Linked DNA regions of Ovis aries. The main gene of each other region encodes a partner of the protein of the gene in region 2 in a complex. Links are inferred from orthologs where the notes say so. Each region holds a gene or a part of one and is shown on either strand. Other genes may lie near its edges. The genes, in order: LAT2 and STAP1.

What was found.
Region 1: the proteins of STAP1 (region 2) and LAT2 are in contact, whole or in part, in a crystal structure (PDB 3MAZ), measured with the Homo sapiens proteins. The link is inferred for Ovis aries from reciprocal best matches to the Homo sapiens genes STAP1 and LAT2. Residues at the interface, in NP_001304698.1 of Homo sapiens: Arg184, Arg203, Pro204, Gly205, Ser206, Ser212, Ile215, Gln217, Ile219, Lys225, His226, Tyr227, Lys228, Glu239, Leu240, Glu241, Tyr255, Phe256, Glu259, Thr260, Arg261, Asn263, Leu264; in NP_054865.2 of Homo sapiens: Asn134, Ser135, Tyr136, Glu137, Asn138, Val139, Leu140, Ile141, Lys143.

Annotation. Positions count from the first base shown.
Region 1 is NC_056077.1:33,641,589-33,651,866, forward strand, and holds the start of LAT2 (linker for activation of T-cells family member 2), read right to left. Parts: upstream 6,868-10,278; 5' UTR 6,718-6,867; intron 4,381-6,717; 5' UTR 4,317-4,380; coding exon 4,281-4,316; intron 2,525-4,280; exon of another isoform or gene 2,517-2,524; coding exon 2,399-2,516; intron 1,936-2,398; coding exon 1,896-1,935; intron 1-1,895. UniProt on the Homo sapiens protein: Involved in FCER1 (high affinity immunoglobulin epsilon receptor)-mediated signaling in mast cells.
Region 2 is NC_056059.1:84,109,423-84,119,721, reverse strand, and holds the start of STAP1 (signal-transducing adaptor protein 1), read right to left. Parts: upstream 6,437-10,299; 5' UTR 6,347-6,436; coding exon 6,227-6,346; exon of another isoform or gene 1-6,226. Other genes in the region: CENPC (centromere protein C), read left to right, coding at 8,259-8,303. UniProt on the Homo sapiens protein: In BCR signaling, appears to function as a docking protein acting downstream of TEC and participates in a positive feedback loop by increasing the activity of TEC.

The DNA.
Region 1 (10,278 bases), on a different chromosome or scaffold from region 2:
AAAACAAACAAAATAAATGAACAAACCAAACAAAAACTAACTTGTGGGTACAGAGAGAAGAGTAGTGTTTACCAACGTTGAGAGGGCAAAATTGGTAAAGGGGATGAACTGTGTGATGACAGATGGAAATTAAATGTTCATTGGTAAGCTTGGTATAGGGTATACAGAAATAGAAATTAAATATTCTATATGTGAAACCTAAATAAGGAGGCACTCCCAACTGGGATGCACCCTTTTTGTCTTCCTTCTTCATTCTTACTGCTGCATGGAATGCAGAGATGAGGGCTGGAGCTTTAGCTGACATTTTGGCCCATGAAGTGCCTTTGGGAATGAATGCCACCACTAAGGATAGTGGAGCAGATTAGCTAATTATAAAAGCCTCTTGGGTTTCTTCCATGGACCAGAATGGTGACCTGGTCCAGTCTTCAGGAGCTCTTGAGGGGTGAAAGTGATCTGATTTAGGAACAAGGCCCTAAATCCACAGAAGAGAGTCTGGCCTGGCTTCCCAGAGGAAATGATACAGGAGCTGGGCCTGGCACAGGCTGGTAGGACTGAACCCAAGTGAGGCGGGGAGAGCCCAAGTCTCCCCTCTGATCTCCTCCCACTCAGGCCTCTTTCTCCACCTCCCACATGGGGAGGTTTAGCTTGTGCCTCTGAAGATCTTCAGTTCTAAGATTAATCGGGGGACTGGAGTGAGTGGGCAGGGGCTAAGGGAGGAGGGGAGAGGGAAGATTTTGAGGAACTTGGCTTGGGGCAGGGGTGTGGCCAGTGGGGAGGGCACCAGGGTAGTCCAGTCCACGCCCCCAGTGGAGGTTGTGGGCTGGCGAGCCAGAGGACCACGGGACCCCAAAAGGCTGGGAAGGTCCGGCCCCAGCCCTTGGAGTGGGCATGGATGGGAAAATTCTATTTTCAAATCTCACTGTGGTTTTTCAGTTGCAAAAGGAAATGAGAAGAGGGTGTGTGAGCGAGTTTGTATGTGAGTGCCTGCCCAGGCGTGCAAGCAGGCCCTGTGTGTGTGTGAGAAGTGCATGCATGAATGAGCGCTGGGGGAGCCAGTGGGTGTGCGTGGGCGTGCAGGCCTGTGCACGTGTGTGCACGCAGGTCTCGGAGCCCTCCACCGGCACACCGCTGGCCGCAGCCCTCCTGCCAGGGTCCTGACGCTCTGGGGTCAGTGCCAGCATTTCATGTTTCATCTCCCCTGACCACTGCCCTGCTTCCAGCTCTCCCGCGACTCCCCTTGGCCCTTTGGACAAAGGCCAAGGCCTCGGGCCACGTTCAAGACTCTCCTTCCTCCGAATTCAGCTCACTACTCTCAAGACATGTTCACTCCAGCTGCATCAAACCCGAGGCAGTGTCCACCCCGGCCTGAAGTCAGTGATTGCCCACACTGTTCCCTCTCTCTCTGGAATGTCCCCTCTCTCTCTGGAATGTCCCCCTTTTCCCTTCTGTCTCTTCAGATTCTTCCCGCCTCCTCCAGGAGGCCTTCCGTGATCCCCCCAAGTTTCATGCCCACATGCTGTCTCGGACCCAGCACCTGGTCCCTGGTCCCTGTCCCTGCAACGGGAGGGCGGGATTCCTCTGTCAACCCCCCAGCACAGCCTAGTTCCCACTGGGGTGGGGTCACGGCGGGGATTTCTGGAGACGCTCCTGGGCTCACTGGAGCGTGCCTCCCACCCTCCCCAACTAGTCTGGGGCAGGGTTTGGGCGGTCCCTGGGCACCTCCTCACCCTCCCCCCTCACCCTCCCCTAAGTGCTGAGGACCCACTGGAGCCCAGCATGGAGAAGGTGAAAGTGAAGGGGTGAGGGGTGGGGGCGAGGTGCCTGAGGGGAGGCCCACAGGGACGGCCCCCGCCCAGGCAGGACACACAGCATCACTGGGCTGGGGAGACACTCACAGACTCCTCTGCTCATAGATTTTCTCAGACTTCTTTGCACCTGCAAGAGCAGGACCAGATTAGCCAGTTCCCTGATCCCGCCCCCCAGGGCCAGGTGGGAGCTGAGATCGAGGCCCAACCATCTCCCCTGTTGCCCTGGGCAGGCCTCAGACCAGACATGGGGGCTGAGCCACTCATCGCTGGGGGCCACCTGACCCTGGCGAGGTTTGCTCACCATTTACTTAGGAGAGTGGACCGTGAAGGCAGACAGCCCAGCCCCCTCTCCCCTCCCTTGTCCGGCACAATCCATGCGCAGACAGATGCCTTTGACCCCGGAGAACCAACACTCCCATTCAGTCAGACCCGTGGTCTTCAGAGAACGATCAGGGGCCGTGTCCCTGGGTTTCACTTCTGCGCCCCCAGGCTTATCTGACTGCCCCTTCCGAGCAGCCGGGTCTGGGCCTGAGCGGCTCTCTGGGGACACCGCGCACTCCTCCCACAGGTCCACGACCCCCAGGCTTTACCTGGGCGGGAACAGCGCACACACAGGCCGGCTGCTGCCCCCAGCAGCAGCAGCAGAGCAGCCCCCGGCCACAGCAGTTCTGTGTCCGTGCTCATGTCCACTCCGGGACGCTCTTCTTCCTGCAGGGCTGCGACAGGGGGCACTGTGAGCCAGGGTGGGGGCCACAGGGCTGCCCCTGCTAGGAACCCTCCCCCAACTGTCCCCTGACAGCCCAGCGTCCCCTACCCTCCCTGCTCTGGGACCAGACGGGTCAGAACCAGCCCTGTCCGCTCATCTGACCCCAGACCTGCACCTCAGGTCCCCCAGGGCCATCATCAAGTGCTGGAAGGTTCTGGAAACCTGCCTGTAAGCGCACACTCCCACGCACACCTTTGCTTAGTCCACCCAGCCACCCCGCGAGGGGGAGGCTAGAGCCATTTCACAAACAGAGAAACGGAAGCCTCAAATTCCACAGCTGCAAAGGGGAAAGGCAGGATTTGAATGCCAGCCTCCAGACCCTAGGGGCTTCCCAGGAGGTGCTAGTGGTAAAGAACCTGCCTGCCAGTGCAGGAGACTTAAGAGATGAGGGTTCGATCCCTGAGTCAGGAAGATCCCCTGGAGGAAGGCATGGCAGCTCACTCCAGTATTCTTGCCTGGAGAATCCCATGGACAGAGAAGCCCGGTGGGCTGCAGTCCACACAGTTTCGCAAGGAGTCAGACATGACTGAAGTGACCCAGCACGCATGCAAGGACTCCAGACCCTAATGCTTGTTCTGTTCTTTCATCCTGTGATAAAACCTCCTGCGAACCCAGCGCTGTTCCCCAAGCTCAGAGTCCACTGCCCCTTCTACACCAGAGCCCCCATCCACCCTAGGGTGATTCTCTGCTCCCACCCAAGGCCTCCTGGGGAAGCTGGGGGTGCGTTTTCCATTCCTAAAATGCCTGTCTACCCAGATGCTCTGGTTCCTCCTGTCCTTGGAGCTGGGAGGAAGGTCAGGGAGGCTTCTCGGAGGAGGTGGGCCTGAGACCAGGAAGGGGGGAAGGGCGCCTGGGCGGAGGGACTTTGGTGGCTGGTAGAGGAATGTACTGGGAGATGGGGTTAAGAGGCCACTCTGTGGTCAGTGGCTGGTCCCAGCCTCGGGGCCTCAGCAAAGCTGCAGGCAGCCACCTAGCAAGGCCTGCTGAGTGCAAGTTCAGCCCTCTTGAGGGGCCCTCCAGGGAGATTTGTTGCAACTCTAAAGAGACTCAGCCTCCTTTGCAAAGTGACAGTAGGCAGAGGACAGCAGGGGTCCTGCGGGGCCTGTGCCCCACGGTGGGCACGTGGACCCCATGCTATGGAGCATCCCCTCTGTGAACACCTGTGCCTCCCGCCTCGGCCACCTGGGAGGAGGCTTCTCGCTTCACAGCTGCGGGAGGCAAGGCTGAAGGAGACCCGAGCTTTGTGCAGGCCTCCTCCTTCTTTCTGGCTCCCCCAGAGGACTGCACCATACCCTGTGGCCCCGCTCACCACCCCAAGCTTCCTGAATCCCCGTTTCAAAGCTGACAGGAAATCTCCGTGCAGGGCTCAGCCTCTGTCAGCGGCCCGTCATGCAGAAATTACCTCTCCTTCCCGCAAATGCCAAGTGAGTCTGTGGGAACACCACCATTCCCAGACCTTGGGACCCAGTGGCCTCCATATAAGGAGAGAGGATGGACCGGTCACCCCCAGGATATTGTTCCAGGGGACCTCAGCTCCCCGTCCTCTAGGAGCTGGGGCACCGTCTTCCCAGGCCGCATACCCTCCACCCTCCCCAGACCTCCCTCTGGTCCAGGGCCGCCTCCCTCTTGGGCCTCCAGCCAAGGCCCAAGTCCATCCAGGGCTGGTGAGGTTGGGAGCCCCTGGTCTTGGACAGGGGGACCCCTACCTGTATCTCAGGGTCTCTTGGCCTCACTTTGCTCATCTGTAAAACTGGGATCGACCAGGGCCTTCCTCCAACAGTTGTGGAGAGTACACACACATCCAGCCTGGACCACAGTCAGGGTTTCAGGAAGAGAAACTTGCTGAGTGTCACACTTCCGGCCAGCTGGTTTGGACAGTTCCCTTGAGTGCCCACCCTTGACACGTTTATCTTTGGGTCGAGATGAAGGCTCTTTCTGCCCCCAAGGAGGTTTGGGGGTAGACCCACGGGGGGTTACTCCCGTGGGACAAGGGTCCAGCACTGGCCACCCTTGGGGTCTGCTTGAGACCCCAGGGGCAAGTCCACATACTCAGCTTGGCATTCAAGGCCCGAGGATCTGGGCTGCTGAGCTCTGCTGCCCTCCCTCCCCGAGGACCCCCAAACACCAGAGAGCCCTCTTGCTTCCTGGCTCTGCTGTTCTGGGATGAGCCACAGTCAGGCATGCTCCTAGCCCTGGTCCATCTTCCCCCCGCCTGGCACTGTGTGAGGGAAGGGGGCAGGGCATGAGAACACAAATTCTGCCCCAGCAGCTGAGTTCCAATGCCACCGGTCACCCTGTTAATGGAGGGAAAAAATGACACAACCCTCGGGTTCGTCATAGGAGGCCCAGTGCTGAGATGACACCTGGAGGCGCTGCTGATGGCTGGTGTGGGGCACAGTTGGCTGTGCCCACCGTGACTTGTCATCATCACGGTCCCCGCAGGATGGGAAGGGGTTAGCTGCATCCTGGCTGGCTGGCCTGCACTGGACAGCATGGGGCAACCCTGCCTGAAGCCCTCCCTGCCTGCTCCCCCAGACACACAGGCCTGAGCCTGCCCCAGGAGGGGCGTCGTGCTGGGACCCTGGGAGACCCTGGGATCTGAAGGCGAGCGTGGCTGTTGCACCCGGCCCCGCAGTTGTCACAGAGCCACACGGCATCCCCTCGGAGAGGTCGGCTCCTTTCTTCTCCAAGGGAGGAGAGGGCGGCCCAGAGAGGTGAGTACTCTGCCCAAGGTCACACAGCTGAGCAGTCAGAGCCAAGACCTGTACTCAGGGCAGGTGGACTCTAGGCCTACACTCCTTCCTGTAAATCCTTTTTTAAATTACATTTTTAAAAAAGACTCACACAATATGGTTTTTAAAAGATTCATTTGGAAAAAAAAAAAAAAAGATTCATTTGAGGAAGAAACTAGGACTGCCTCTTCCCCGAGACCAAGACGGACTCAACTTGTCTTCTCTGCTTGTTTTCCCACCCAGGTCTGAGAACAGGTGGGGTGGCAGCGGGGGAAAGGAGAGGGGCTGGGCCCCCGCAGCGCCAGGAGGGCCCCCGGGGGCCAGGCCGCCCGGGGTGGAGTGGGGAGGGGAGAGGAGGCCACCGCAGCCCCAGGCCTGCAGGCCAAAATAGCAGAAAGGGAAGTGGGCAGTTTTCAGATGAACAAGGTTTGCAACAAGCCCACGGCGGAAGAGCTCTCAGGGTTGGGCTGAGCGGCCCCAGCACCCAGCCTCCCGCCCCCAAAGGCCCTTGGCGTCCCTCTTGCCCAGCCCCCCAGCCCTCCTCTTGCTGTGGATGGGGTAACTGAGGCCTGCCGGGGCCAAAGGGCAGGCTGCGGGGTAGGGATGGAGTCAAGAGGTTCCCATCCCAGCCCTTGGAAGGCTTTATCGGCTGGGCTTTGCTCTGTTTCCCCAAAGAACCTTGGCCTTCAGATGAGGCTCACCAGAGGTCTCTAATGGAGGTGGCTGATGCTCAGGCGCCTGGTGCAGGGCCCCAGGGAAGCTCCTGTTCTGGGCAGGGGAAGGGGAAGGGGAAGGGGAAGGCCATGGCCTCCCATTGACAGAGCAGAGCCCTGGGAGCACCCCAGGGCCTGTATCTTCTCAACAGCCCCCAAGGCAGGCACCTGGTGGCCAGGCTGGGGGCTGGGGGGGGGGCGGCCGGGGCAGCTCTTCCTCCGGGCCTGGGGCAGGACCTCGGCCTCCTCGCCTGGAGCGCCTCTCCCATCATCCCGTAGCTCCGCAGCAGGGTCGTTACAGTCCCATTTTACAGATGAAGAAACCAAAGCTCCTGAGCCCCCCCCACCCCGGGATCCCTGTCCTGGCCCCTCAGCAGTCTCTGGAAGTGATGGGACCACCCTGGGTGCTTCCCAGGGCTGTGCAGGCTGGGCCGGGGAAGGCGAGGGCAGGAGAGGGGCCGGAGCCCCAGAAACAACTGCCCCTGGGGTGCTGCAGGGGCTGGGGCAAGGGGCCCCTAGCCGGGGGGCACCAGGACAGGAGGTGTGGGGCGTCCTGGTTTCTTCCCGGCCCACCCAACGGGCAACCAGATGCTCCTGCCAGGACAACAGGGCCTCTCCCATCCCCCTGGGGTGTCGGGGGGCAGCCTCAGGACCCTGGCCTCAGGCCCAGGCTCCAGGTACCCCTGGGAAAGGCTTACCTGAAGCGGGGGGCCTCCTCACCGTGGCCACCTCATCCTGAGCACGCACACCTGCACGAGCCGATGCCAACGCCACAGACACTGGCGGGCAGCAGGCAGGGCGGCGGGCTTCCTGTCAGCCACTGAATCAGCCTTCACACATCCGCTGCTCTGCCGGACAGGCCCTGCTTGCAATAGACGGAGGCGGGGATACCCAGAGACAGAGAGAGACGTGGAAACACAAACGCACGCAACATGCTCGCTGAATACACACACGTGAAACCCCATCTCAGGGAGGAAGAGACACACAGAGAGACAGGAGAAAGGCAGTGAAGAATGAAATGGGGGTGCTTGCACAGACACACACAGGCAGCCAGAGAGTGAGACACGGACACACTAGACACACACACACACACAGAAATACACGCCCACACCAAAACACACACACACAAAGAAAACCAGAGAGAGAGAGACACACACACACACACAAAGAAAGAGATACACGTGCTAAAGAATGAGAAAGAAACACAGACACACACAGGCAGCCAGAGAGTAAGACACGGACACACTAGACACACACACACACAGAAATACACGCCCACACCAAAACACACACACACAAAGAAAACCAGAGAGAGACACACACACACAAAGAAAGAGATACACGTGCTAAAGAATGAGAAACACAGACACACACAGGCAGCCAGAGAGTGAGACACGGACACACTAGACACACACACACACACAGAAATACACGCCCACACCAAAACACACACACACAAAGAAAACCAGAGAGAGACACACACACACACACACACAAAGAAAGAGATACACGTGCTAAAGAATGAGAAAGAGAAACACAGACACACAAACACACAGAGACACATGCCAGGGCAGACGTAACGAACGGCTAGAGGCAAAGACAGATGGACGGAGTGGACAGACACCGGCACCAGAGGAAGGGAGCCCCAGGTGAAGGGCAGAAGGAAGGACACGCATGGCCGCTCCTCCAGACCCAGGGGCCCCCTTACTCCCATTTTCCAGATGAGGCTCATAGAGGTGCAGAGCCAGCCACTCTCTCCACTTGCTGCCCCAGCATCCGGCCGTAGAGGTGAGGAGGTGCTGGACAGGTGGCTGGGTCCCCCAGCACCTCCTGTGAGTGGTCACTGAACAACGTGCCCAAGGCCGCTGGACTCTTACCCCACTTGCTAGGGGCCCCAGGGAAGCCCTCAGGGGTCGCACCTCAACCCCCCATCTGTCTGGCATCTCAGAGCCTGAGCTCCCCAGCTCTGGGCCCCTCTCTGCTGGGACGGGGTTTCTCTTCTGGTCCCAGTCCAGCCCTGCCAGGTGAGGCTAGGAATGAGGCCCAGTGGGAAGACCAAAACCGCCAGGGCTGGGTGCTCACTGCTGCCACCCTGTGGGGGAGAAGGGTGGCGTGGGGACCTGGGCTACCTCGTGGGCCCCGAGTGCTGGTTGTCCTCACCCCTGCAAGTGGGGTCAGCAGGACTAAAGCCAACCTCACCAGAGTTCCAAACCTGCGCCTGAGAACCGTGGGTGCCTCCCTCATTCCATGTGGGGGCAGCACTATGTGTAAGTCCCTTGGCAACTCTTGCAAGAAGACCTTCGTTTTCTTAGGCAAGCTGGCTGAAGGCTGAGAGGCTAAGCTGGATTTCAACCCAGACCCCAAAGCCTGTTGTCTTTTCACCACTCATGGGTTCAGGGGCTCGCTGGGACCGCCTGCCTGGCCCCTCCTCACCCACTGGGACAAGTCTGTGTTGGTTTCCATCCAACCTTGGGCTGTGTGCTTGCCCAGGTTTCTCTATCTGCAGAGATGGACAGGAGGTCCAACGTGTCTAGTGGGAATGGAGCTCTGCTTCACATTCTGGCTTCTGTCAAGGGCCTTCTTATTTATGGAGGATGCGGAGTCGACTGCTGACTGCCAGCAAAGTCTCAGGGTCCGTCCACAGTGGCACCCAAGATCCTCTCTGAGCCCATTTTCCATCTATAAAAAACAAGGGTCTCTCAACCCAAAGACGCTTTTTGAAATTGAGTGGGAGGAGGAGCCACTCAATCTGAATCCACTCCTGAATCCAGAAGGCTCCACTGCCCCCTTGTAGGCAATTCTAATTCCTCCAAGTTCTATTTATAGATCATTCAGATGTGAGTTAGAAGATAAGCTTTAAAAAACTAGACATTTCAACCCCTCTCCACAATAGCCATTTTGTGTCCAGTTATATAGATACTAGTGCCCCCAACTCTTTTTTCAATTCAGTGGTTTCTGGTATTTTTTTTTGTGACAAAATACATGTAACATAAAATTTACCATTTTTTCCCACTTCTAAGTGGGCACCTCAGAGGCATTAATTATTCACAGCTCCATACAGCCATCACCACCATCTTGTCTTCATCACTCCAAACAGGACTGTCCGGCTTTTCAGCTCACAGCTGAGTGTCAGTTGTGTGCACAATTGTTACAGAAGCAAGCTAAGTAGTAACACAGCAGTTCTAAGATCTTAAGTTCTAACCCTGAGAATCTTCTGGGGCATCCTTTCAAGGCTGATGGGAAGTGATGGACTTTCTTCAGATATATGCACATTGAGAAGCATATACAACATTCTCGAAGCCCCTGGAGTCTGTCTATAAAGCTGCTGCCACTCTCAACCTTTACGATGCAAACAAGAATCACTCTTGCCCCCCGTCACGCCCAGGCATTTATGACATTTCTCTTTGGTCCTAAGCTCACTACCCAGCAGAACCAAGAATATTCCTTCATTCTTCTGCCTCCCTCATAACTAAGTGATGTTTTTGTCATATTTTTTTTAGCCTTCAAAGTACTTTTAAAAAATTGAAGTATAGTTGACTTACAGTGTTGTATAACTTTCTGCTATACAGCAGTGATTCAGTTATACATACACATTTCTAAAAAAGAAAAAAAAATCCTTTTCCATTATGGTTCATCATAGGATACTCAATATAGTTCCCTGTGCTATACATAGTTAAAAAACTGTTTTCTATTCTGGATATAGGTATTTGTAAAGTGGTTTGTGTGTGTGTGTATAAAATTAACACAAGCTGTGGGGCTATTTCTCTTGGGTGCATCTCTGGGAGAGGAACCGCTGGGCTAGAGTGTGGGACCATTCAATTTTCAGGCTAATGCTCATTTCAAATTAATTCCCACAGTGGCTGTACTCAGTGACTCTCATTTGTAACATGTGAAGACCCACAAACTTAGCAGCAACTGGTTTGTCAGGCTTCTCGATCTTTGCTGTTTGGATGGGTGTAAAATAGTATTTTCTTTGTAGTCCTGATGCAGGTCCTTGACTACTGAGGTTGAGCACTTTATTTCCTCTTCTGCGAAATGCCTGTTCATTGTTGCTTAGTTTTCCACTGAGTTCTTTTTCTCTTACCAATTTGCAGGAAATCTTCATATACTTCATGTGTTTTTAGTTTGTAACATCTTCATTTATATTTTGAAACATTACTTTAAAAAATCTGGTAAGCATATTCTGTATTTCAAGAGTAATTCCGAGGAATCCTGGTGCTACTGACAGAGCCCTTTGGTGACCTGGAAAGCATCTCTGA
Region 2 (10,299 bases):
AATTGGTTTTGGGGGCTAGAAACCACCCCACTGAAACAACTGGAATCACACTCCATGCAGTCTCACCTTCCAGTCAGCAAGCAGCCTAGACATGTTCCCGTGCTGGCAGAAGGAATGCCCAGGGACAAAAGAGGGCAAAACCCAAAGTGCAAGTACTGCCTGATTCTCTGCTTTTGTCACATTTATCAAAGCATGACCCAATCTAGATTCAAGGGGCAGGAAAATAGACTCAGTGTCTTTATGGAAGGAGCAGAAAAGTCATATTTCCAAAGGGAGTGTATACAGTGAGGAATGAACAAACTGATGGTAGTCCTGCAGCAACCTACATCAGGGGCAGAGATAGAACTTGGAGCACAGTTTCTCTGTCCAAGTCTTGTGCTCTTTCTTCTTCCTCCTACCTCTCAACACAGAGTGGGCTATAACATAATGTAACGAACTTGCTGGTGCTTCCTGAACCAATAACTGAAGACCAAAGAAAAGAACAATTCCAAAGGGCATAGGATTGATGTTATCAGCCAATAGATGGTCCCCAAAGGAGCAACTGTAAAACTGCGCAGGGATTTTTCCTCTTGTCTGAAATCCAGATGCCAATATATACCTGACACATCTTGGAGTCAAGCAGTTTAATAAGGCAACAGAATAAACCTTAATTTCAGCCCCCATCAGAAGTCTTTTATTTCCTTATTTTCACATAGGATTAAAAAAAAAAAGGCATTGAAGTAACCCTTTGCCTGCTGTCTCTGCTGCTTTCATTCGCCCTCCAGTCTATCCTGAATGGTACTGCTAGAATTACTCCTCTGCAGACAGTAGGACTGAGTATCTAAGAGGTAAGTCTGAGAGACAGGGTCCTCAGCTCAGTCCCTTGCCGTCATCTCTTAACTCAGCCTACCACACAGAGAGGATGTTCTGCTCTGTTCCTGCTACATGGCAGAGGGTCTCCAAGAGGGATAGGCAGAGGTTCACTCTGTGGTGGGGGAACTAATAGCTCATATGCAGCAACTAAGAGTTTGTACGCTTCAACTAAAAAAAAATCCTGTATTCCGAAGGAAGATTGAGGATCCCATGTGCTGCAACTAAGACCCAAGACAGCCAAATCAATTAAAAAAAAAAAATCCTAAAGACTACTTAAATCTGGGGTAAAGTGTCAACACAGTTTTAGTCTTGAGTCTAATCCATATATTGATAGAATTTATTAATAAGAGTAACATTCTTTCCACATGGTAATTGGCATGAGTGTGTAACAGTGGTGGCATCTAAAAATCTCTAAAATAGATCTCTTTCAATGGGATTCTGTACAAGAAGAAATTTTGTAAACTAGAATAATGAAATTCATTGTAATTCCTATATGAAATCATGCTTTCATACGGTCTTAAGTAAAGAGAGAGAAAACTGCATTGAGAAATTTGGTTTCAAAAGTTGCCAACCTATACTGTCTGTGATCAGCCCAGTGTTCTGTAAACACTGTGAAAGTATATTGTCACTCTGTTGAAAGAGTACTTGAATTTTCTCAGAATTGACTTGAGATTAAATAATAAAACAATTCGGTTTTATTGTGGAGCTTTAAAAAAAATCGTATCTCTCTTTTTAAGGCTTTTACATTCTGCTCTAATAGGAAGTCTCTTAATGCAAGGAGCAAGTCAAGGATACATGATATTTTGGAACTATGATGGCGGTGAGGAAGTGGGGAGGAGTTTGGAACATAGGCATATTGGTTAGAGAATTGAATCACAGATTGTGTAGTTTTACTGAAGTATGGCATCTAAGATCAAGGCCAAACCCGATTTTATGATTCCTGGAGGAAAAGAAAACAAGAGAAAAGCCTGTATGAAAGTCTACCACTCTGTTAATCTTCTTAATTAGCCTCATCAGTATTAACCTACCATAGATAGAAAAACTAAAATCAGTAACAGCAGTCAAAGTGTATTGCATTCCCTCTATATATATATGCATACATGCATCTATGCTTCTGAGAAAAATTATAGAGGTGTTCAGGCATGAGAGAATGGTATGAATTGCAGAGTTAATGAAAGAAACATGGGAGCATTACTGATAAATAAACATAGATTTTTAGAAAGGATAAAGGAGGGTTTATTAAATGAGGGAAGAAGCAAGAACAAAAGACACTGAGTTGAGAAAAAGGCAGCCAGGAGGAAAAGGAAGATTATAAATATCAGTGGGCTCTGTGAACACCCAACCATAGCCACAAATCTAAGAATACTTCTAATTTACATTTGGTATGCAGAGAACTGCAGGTCATAGTCTTGATTTAGTTTCTGAGAAGTGCTCCTGGAAACTAGTATAATTTAAGTCATCTATAAATATCAATTGTAATGACCAACATATAGGTATATATTTATATCTACAGAGATAACATAAATATTTTAAAAATTAAATTTGAAGGACCTGTTTTTGAATTAAATACATTTAATACAAGATGTCTTATTTTTAAGCAGTCACTTGTGTTCAGTTGCTGAAGTAAAAAATACTGAAATGGGCCTTTTGAATTTATCACTAGCTTCATTATCATTAGATGACCTTGTATTTAGAGTCTAATGTGACTATTATTTTCATTCATTAAGCAGTGTTTTTGAAAGTCTACTGAGCTTACTGTTGAGCTCAGTGTGATGAAGAATCTAGTGATTAGACATCCCCAATCTTGAAAAACCCAATAAATGGATTTTTTTTTTGAAAAGCAGCATGATGTCAAGTGCTTTGCAATAAAATCCCAGCTGGGCTCTTTATGGTGAGGCACTTTGAACACAAACTCTGTGAGCAACAATTCACCCATCTTGAAGTGGATAAAATTATTTCTACCCAGAAAAATTATTATAAGGACCAGAGAGACAAGACATTAAGAGCCTAACATATCTCCCATGTCAACACCTCAAGAAAATATATAGTCCATTTGATCATCACAGCAACCCATTCAGTTATACAAGAGAGTAACTGTCCATTTTACAAAACAGGAAACAGATGAAAAGATATGAGGGATTGCCTAAGTTCTACAGGAGGACTGATACATCTCCTGGCACCCAGGACTCTTTTCTCGTTGATGTAACTACTAAAATAGGTGACAGTGCAAATCCAGTAAAGTTCCTCTCTATCCCCTGTCCCCAATAAAAAGTTCCTTCCTTTTTTTCTCTTGTGAGTGAATAAAGGTTCTTTGCTTAAGGAAGACCGTTGTATAGTAGTCTACAAAGCGTGGCACTAAACCCCGGAAGCATGTAAGATGATCTCATTGGGGAAGAAACTTTTAGAATATCTCTATTTCATTTATTTCATCTTTCTTAATTCTTTTCTTGCATATAGTCAGTCATTTTTTGGACTTAGTGCAGGAGCACACCATAATTTCTAAACTAATATTCTTATGTTAGAGATCTACGTTCAAAATATTTTCTTGAAAGGAGTGTGTTACTTTAAAAATTTGGAAAGCACTAGCACAGAGAACTTTTTGACAGCACAGCCAAGTCCTAAAATTTTTCTAAATGAATTAGTGGCAGTTGGAGGACTAGTGAGAGAAATGTTACTTTGAAGCTATTTTAATGGTCATATTCTATGTTCAGGCTAATAAAACATATTACATATCATTGTTTTAATTTGAACACATCACAGTTTGAAGAAACTGTGAGATGTTGCCCAAATTCTCTCTTATTTTCAAATAGTTCCCCCATAATAAGAATTTTGTACATTTCTAAAAGCTGTAATGCCATGGATATCTCATTGTAGCACCTAATGGCTTTTATTCGGAGAAGGCAATGGCAACCCACTCCAGTACTCTTGCCTGGAAAATCCCATGGACAGAGGAGCCTGGTAGGCTGCAGTCCATGGGGTTGCTGGGAGTCGGACACGACTGAGTGACTTCACTTTCACTTTTCACTTTCATGCATTGGAGAAGGAAATGGCAATCCACTCCAGTGTTCTTGCCTGGAGGATCCCAGGGATGGGAGAGCCTGGTGGGCTGCCATCTATGGGGTCGCACAGAGTTAGACACGACTAAAGCGACTTAGCAGCAGCAGCAGCAGCAGCAATGGCTTTCATTATCTAATATATCTAATCATCCAGAATTCTAGTGTTGTGGGTTAAGTAAATTTTCCCACATTTTCACCATAAAAATTATGTACTTTTATGGGTTCTTGACCTCGGATCCATGGAACTCTTGGAATTGTGGTTAAAATGGTATATGTTGGCACATTTTCTTAAGGGCAAATCTCCTTAATTCTTAAAAGTGCCCCTGTCAAAGAAGACCTTCTATATACCTTTGGTTCACCTCCCTTTCAAAAATTCTTTGGCACTATGCTGCCACTTGTTTAGAAATCCTAGTATTCTCCTTAACTTTCTCTCGATGCTTCTGTTTTCAAGCAATCTAATTATCACCATGGCCCTTCTTTGAGCGGGATTAAAAACTGATTTTCATATGTTAATAAGAATGTGATAGATAATAAAATAGAAGGAGAATGAATCTAATCTCTAGTATGAGGCAGGTGTTTTATATTTGTTATCCCTTTAATCCTTGAAACCACCTTGTTAGTAGACATTACTGTCGTTCTCTTGCTCTCTTCTCTCTGATGTATAAGTAAAAGATACTTTACTATGAATTCAAGTGGAAGCATAAGTTAATTTCCTCCAAAACTTTTGCACCTATAGTTTATTCTTTCCATTTCAAAGTATGCTTTCTAAGAAAAGTTAGACTGGCATTCGGGTAAGTGAAGTGAGTCATCACTTCTGACTAACCTAACCCTCACGAAGGTAGGGGTTTGTATTTTATTCATATTCTCTGAAACTGAGTGTGATGTTTGGTGCATAGGAAACACAAAATAAACACCACTTAAATGAATGAATTGATTAAGCACTGACTGTATCCCAGGCATTCTACCTTGAGAGGTAAGTCATATTCTCTCCATTTTATAGTTGAGGAAATTTAGTCTCAAGGAAATTAAGTAACGTGTATAAAATCACAGGATATAAGTGGCAAAACCATTAGGTAAAGACATGTTTTACTGACACTCTAAAATCCTTGTTTTTTCTACTATCCAGACCAATGGAATGCCCTTTTTAAACACTAAAGGGAACCCAGTACCAGAAACAGTCATTACAAAGTCTTTGGAAAAATTTCAATAAATAGACAAGTTTAAATTATAGTCTAAACATTTCTTTTTCCCAACTCCCCTTTCCTGGCATGTAACTGACAGATATTACTAATTCATGTTAATACCCATAACAGAATACAAATTACCATGTCTTTCCTCTCCAATATTAAATTATCTGATTATATATGCAAGAAATATGATTGTGCTGCTACAGATATTTTTACATACACAAATTTTCTGTAAGCATTAATAAATCCTCAGAAAATATATTTTTGTTATTAAACATTTCTTAAGGCATTTCTCAAAAACCTAATTTTTTTCTAGCTTCAGTTAATGTTAACATTTCATAAAATTTGACCTAAGTTAATTATTTCTTTTTTCTTTAGTCACAGACACTTCTGTGTTTATGTCTTATTCATTTCAAATTATCCACAATTAGTATTTCAAAAGCACTGATTTTAATTAATTATGTTTTCATTTTTACATTTAAAAAAATACAGAGTGCTTTGTGAATTTTCTTAGAGTGAATGTATTTATGTAGCTTAGCGTACACCTACCCATAGAGCACCCTAAGTATCATCTTTTAAAATCACTATCTTGAAAGTGTCTTAGAACATATAACTAACTATATAGAATCTTAAACATTGTCAAGTTTATCATTGTCTCAATTTTTTCAAAAGTTTATCATAAAAAATAATTTGATCATTATTTAAAAACTTCAATCAAACAGAATAGGAGCAGAAGTTTTAATTTCAGGAATAGTATAATTTTATCTTAATAGTACATGTCATCATGGAAGCATAGTAGTACATGCAGAGAAAATATATACCAAACATTTTATCTTCTAAGCTAAACTTTTCTGTGATGTTTAAATACATTTTTTGGAAATTTAGGAATTTTTTTTACATTAGTGACAACATTAGAATCTTATATTATTATACATAATATATATATGCACATGTGAGTTCAAGCCATATGTTGTATTTAAATTATGCAAATTGGGATCATATTTCTTACCTCAGGAAAGAAGGTTCAATTTTAGCAGAAACAAGAAGGCCCTTGTTTCATCATGTCACCATAAAATAAATTTTACATTAAGACAGAAGCTTCTAGTTTAATATGATCATCTGTGGACTTACCTGGTATTCTGACCGCTTAACTAATAAAAAACCTTCAAAGTACAAGGGTAGAGCAGTAATCTTTGACCTTTCTTGGAAGATCCTGCGAGGGGCTGGTTTCGGGGGCTTCTTAGCCATCATACCCTCTCGTTGGTGTGCGGTTAGTTTCAACTTTATCCAGTTTCAGACAAAATGAGATCTCCCTTGTGTGAGAGGAAAGGGCAACTGTTCAAAGAGGAAGTCCCAGCTAAGAGTTTAAACCACCAATAGGACACACATGCACACTTTTTTTTCTTTATTTTTTGTGAGGTAAGAAAGAACAGGCGTAGACCAACTTTGATAGGGTAATCTCTCAGGAACCTACATGTGTTTAGACTTACAATAGCAAAATAAACAGAAAAGTAATATCACCAGAGGATGAAGAGAACAGATGTGGAGATTATGGACTTTCAAGGAGACATCAAGGTCATGTTTGTTTTCTCCCACCTTTTTTGTTTGTTGCTGCCCGGTTTTGTCCTGAGAAGACATGACTTGAATTAGTTCCACTTCATTAAAAATTACTTAATAGGATAACTATATTAATACTATTTCTGTTTTAGGTACAGCTGGTCTTCTATCCAGATTCTACATGGATTGAATTGACTATACATAGAAAATTTTAGAAAAAAAATTCAGAAACTTCCAAAAGGCAAAACTTGAATTTCCCATGTTTTGAAAACTTTTCATATATTGTATTAAGTATAATAAATAACTGAGATGATATAAAGTATACAAGAGGATTTTGTAGGTTATATGCAAATGCTCTGCTATTTTATATAAGAAACTTGAGCATTCAAGGATTTTGGTATCTGTGGGGGTCCTGGAACTGATCACCTACTGATAGCAAGGGAGGACTGCATTTCAGAACTGAACTTTGTTTAAATTATTAGAAAAATGGTGCTATTTATCCCATGCCCATTTTGATGGTTCACTAAATGTAAACGGCAGTTATGGGAATGTGATATTTTTTACTTCTTTGTTAATCAGTATTTTGAGTTGGTCATTTACCAGTGGATATTTGGCAAAATATGTCTGGAAGAGAAAGCTGTAAATTTTCAAGCTTATATTTTGTTCTTTTTTCTTTCTAAGCAGAGGATCACTGGTGCTATGATGCATAGATGAGGTATGGCTACCTAGTAAGATTTATAGAGCTACACTGAGGCCCAAATGCATTAATTATTTGTTTGTGGAAAATGCTCCTTGAGAGACTGGATTTGGTACAGCACTGTGCAAAGAATGATGGGAGAGAGGAACACAGAAGGAAATCTGGTTTGTTTTGCAGGGGTCTTGAAAGGTTCCACCATTTGCTATTTCACGCTTAGCATTATTACAGAGTTGCTTGAGGTCTAGAATGCAGCCCTGAGCATTCTTCCCTGTTAGACTAGCCTATTCTCATCAGTCAAAGCAATACAGGAATCTACAATCTGAGCCTCCTTTCCTAATGGAAAGACCATGTGGTTTTCCCCACCAGTATGGTTCTATTGGATCTTCAGCTGTAGGTGTGAGGAACCAGACTGTCTACAAAATGAGGTATGATGAAATAAAATTCCTATTTTATAGCCAGACAAGAAAAATTTAAACATAAAATGTTTCTCTTCCCACTTGGGCCTCTTCTCTCCCCTTCAGTGGGTTCAGTATTGTGTATCTGCATTAATCAGGCCTTCCTGGGAGATAACCTTCCTTCTCAATCTGGTAAGGAGGTGTGATGACCCACCACTTGCTTTGTAGTGGCATGTGTAAACTGTCAATATGTTTTTGACCTAAAACTCTTTGTCTCAAAAACTTTTATGATGGTGTTTTGATCTCTAATAAGCAGAACAATCCTTAGAACTATCTGAAAGGTTGTTCCCAAGGTTATAATCCTCAGGTTGGCTTGAATAAAGTTTTCCATTTCTTTCTTAGATGTACTATTGATTAACTTTTTCATTCACATGCATGGTGTAGTTGGCAACATACAAGCGATAACCCACAAGAAGATGCCTGGAATCTTCCCTGACTGGCACTCCACACGAGTATGAGTCCACTGAGCCCCACTGGCTTCTTAGTACTCCTCAGAACAGTGAGTTCTCCTGTTATCTGGATCTCATTGCTTTTAAGTCATAAGCCTGAAAATTTTATTTGAGCTATTTTTATTCAAGACTCGGAGTCTTAGGGGCACTAGTGCATTTCCTAAAGTCGAGATCTAGGGGAATCTGGGGAGGAGGCCCAAGGAAATATGAGTGGTTAGATTTCTGTTAAATTTGGCTTAAGTTAAAAAAAAACTTGATATATAGTCTGAATAAAATATTTCTAGTGAAATGAGAAACTGAATTATTCAGCTTCAAAGAAAAAAAGGACATTTGTTCCTTTGGGCCACAAAGTATTCTCAGGTGACTGAGCATCTAGAGGAAATGTCTGAAGATTAATTGTGACAGAAGTTCTATGGAGAAAGGAATTCTATAGAGAAACTCATTGCAATTGCATAGAATTACAAATAAGTTCTTCTCAGGCGGAGCAATACAGACTGATTATCAGTAAACTAAAGAGTGTTCAGATACATTATGAAAATGAAAACAGCTTTGTCAGGAAGCATTTAACAGGAGGCTTCCTGTGTGCTGTTTTGGATCTGTCAGGAATTCTCTGTTCCTTATTAATTACTGAATACTCAGGAATCAAGAGGAGAGGCAAGCCTCTCCTGGGGGCTGAGGAGTCCAGGCATTTCTTTCATTACTTTTTCTATATAGGGATATGTACCCTCTTCCTTCTTGTGAACCATACGGTAAAAGTGATTGTTTACAACTCTCTCTATATATATGGATCACCTATGTTTTGTAAGTCTGGAATTTTAATCTTTATCTTTGCTTAGAATAACTACCTTGTAAGACAGTATATATGCCCAGACCATGTTGATTAAAACACCTTTGCTCCATCAGAGCTCTGGTCCCCGTGTCTTTCTTTCTCTCTCTCTCTCTCCCTTCTCTCTCTTTTTCAGGCTGATCCCCTGGAGCACAGAGGCTCTCTGAGTTCACTTTCCTGCCTGGGCTTCTAAGACCCTCTCAAGAAGGCGCTCTGTGCCTTCACCCCATCGAGAGAGTGCCTGAGGCTTTCATGAATAGAGCAAGCCCCGTGCAGGTGCTTTATTGGCTTTCTGCGTAAACCAAGGAATATCAGCCTCTTTCTCTCTCCTTTACTTTCTTATCGGTAGACTCTAGACCACCAAGTTCCGGTCCATTAAAGGACCTCAATACAGCTTGAAACTGAAATTGGGAGATGAAGATTCAGAATTACTGCCTTGCCTTTATATTGAGACCTATTTCTTGCTACCCCAAACTTTAAATGATAAAATATAAGTCCAAATACATTTTTTGAGACAAAGCCATAATTAATTTTTAGTTTCAGTATACTAAGGAAGTGATTTGAGTGGTAATCATCAATGGTTGGAATAGAAGAAAAGTAGTCACTGGCCTTATGGCCAGAGAGTTTCATGGGAGAAAGAATATCTCTAGAAAAATGTAAAGATAGGAATATATTTGAGAAATAATTGTCTAGTTAATTATGTCTTTCTTAACTTAAAAAATAAACTACAGAAACCAGTTCAACAGCTTCTGTAAGTTTCTTTGATTTGCCAGCTTGCAAGTAAAATTGATCCTTAATATAACAATGCTCAAATTATATCCCCCCAAACTGACAAAATGCAAAACTCCTGTTGAAATATTATTATCTAGTTGGACCTGTCCATGACTTTCAACATCATTATACCACTGCACCATTACAATAGAAATCCTCTTACAGATATTGCAAGTTTTAGGTGGTGAATAATAAATTTGTAGGTAAGAAAAAGTGTTGAAGCAGAGGGAGAGAAGCCAGTTTTGCTGCTAACCAGCTCCAGACCTTGAACAAACCAGTTCACTTCTCTGGGATAACAGCTTCCTCATTTCTTGCCTTAAGAGCTGCAACAGGCTGCTTTCTGCATGCATGCCAAGTCGCTTCAGTTGCATCTGACTCTGTACAACCCCATAGACTATAGCCGACCAGGTTCTTGCCATGCCCTTCTCCAGAGGATCTTCCTGACCCAG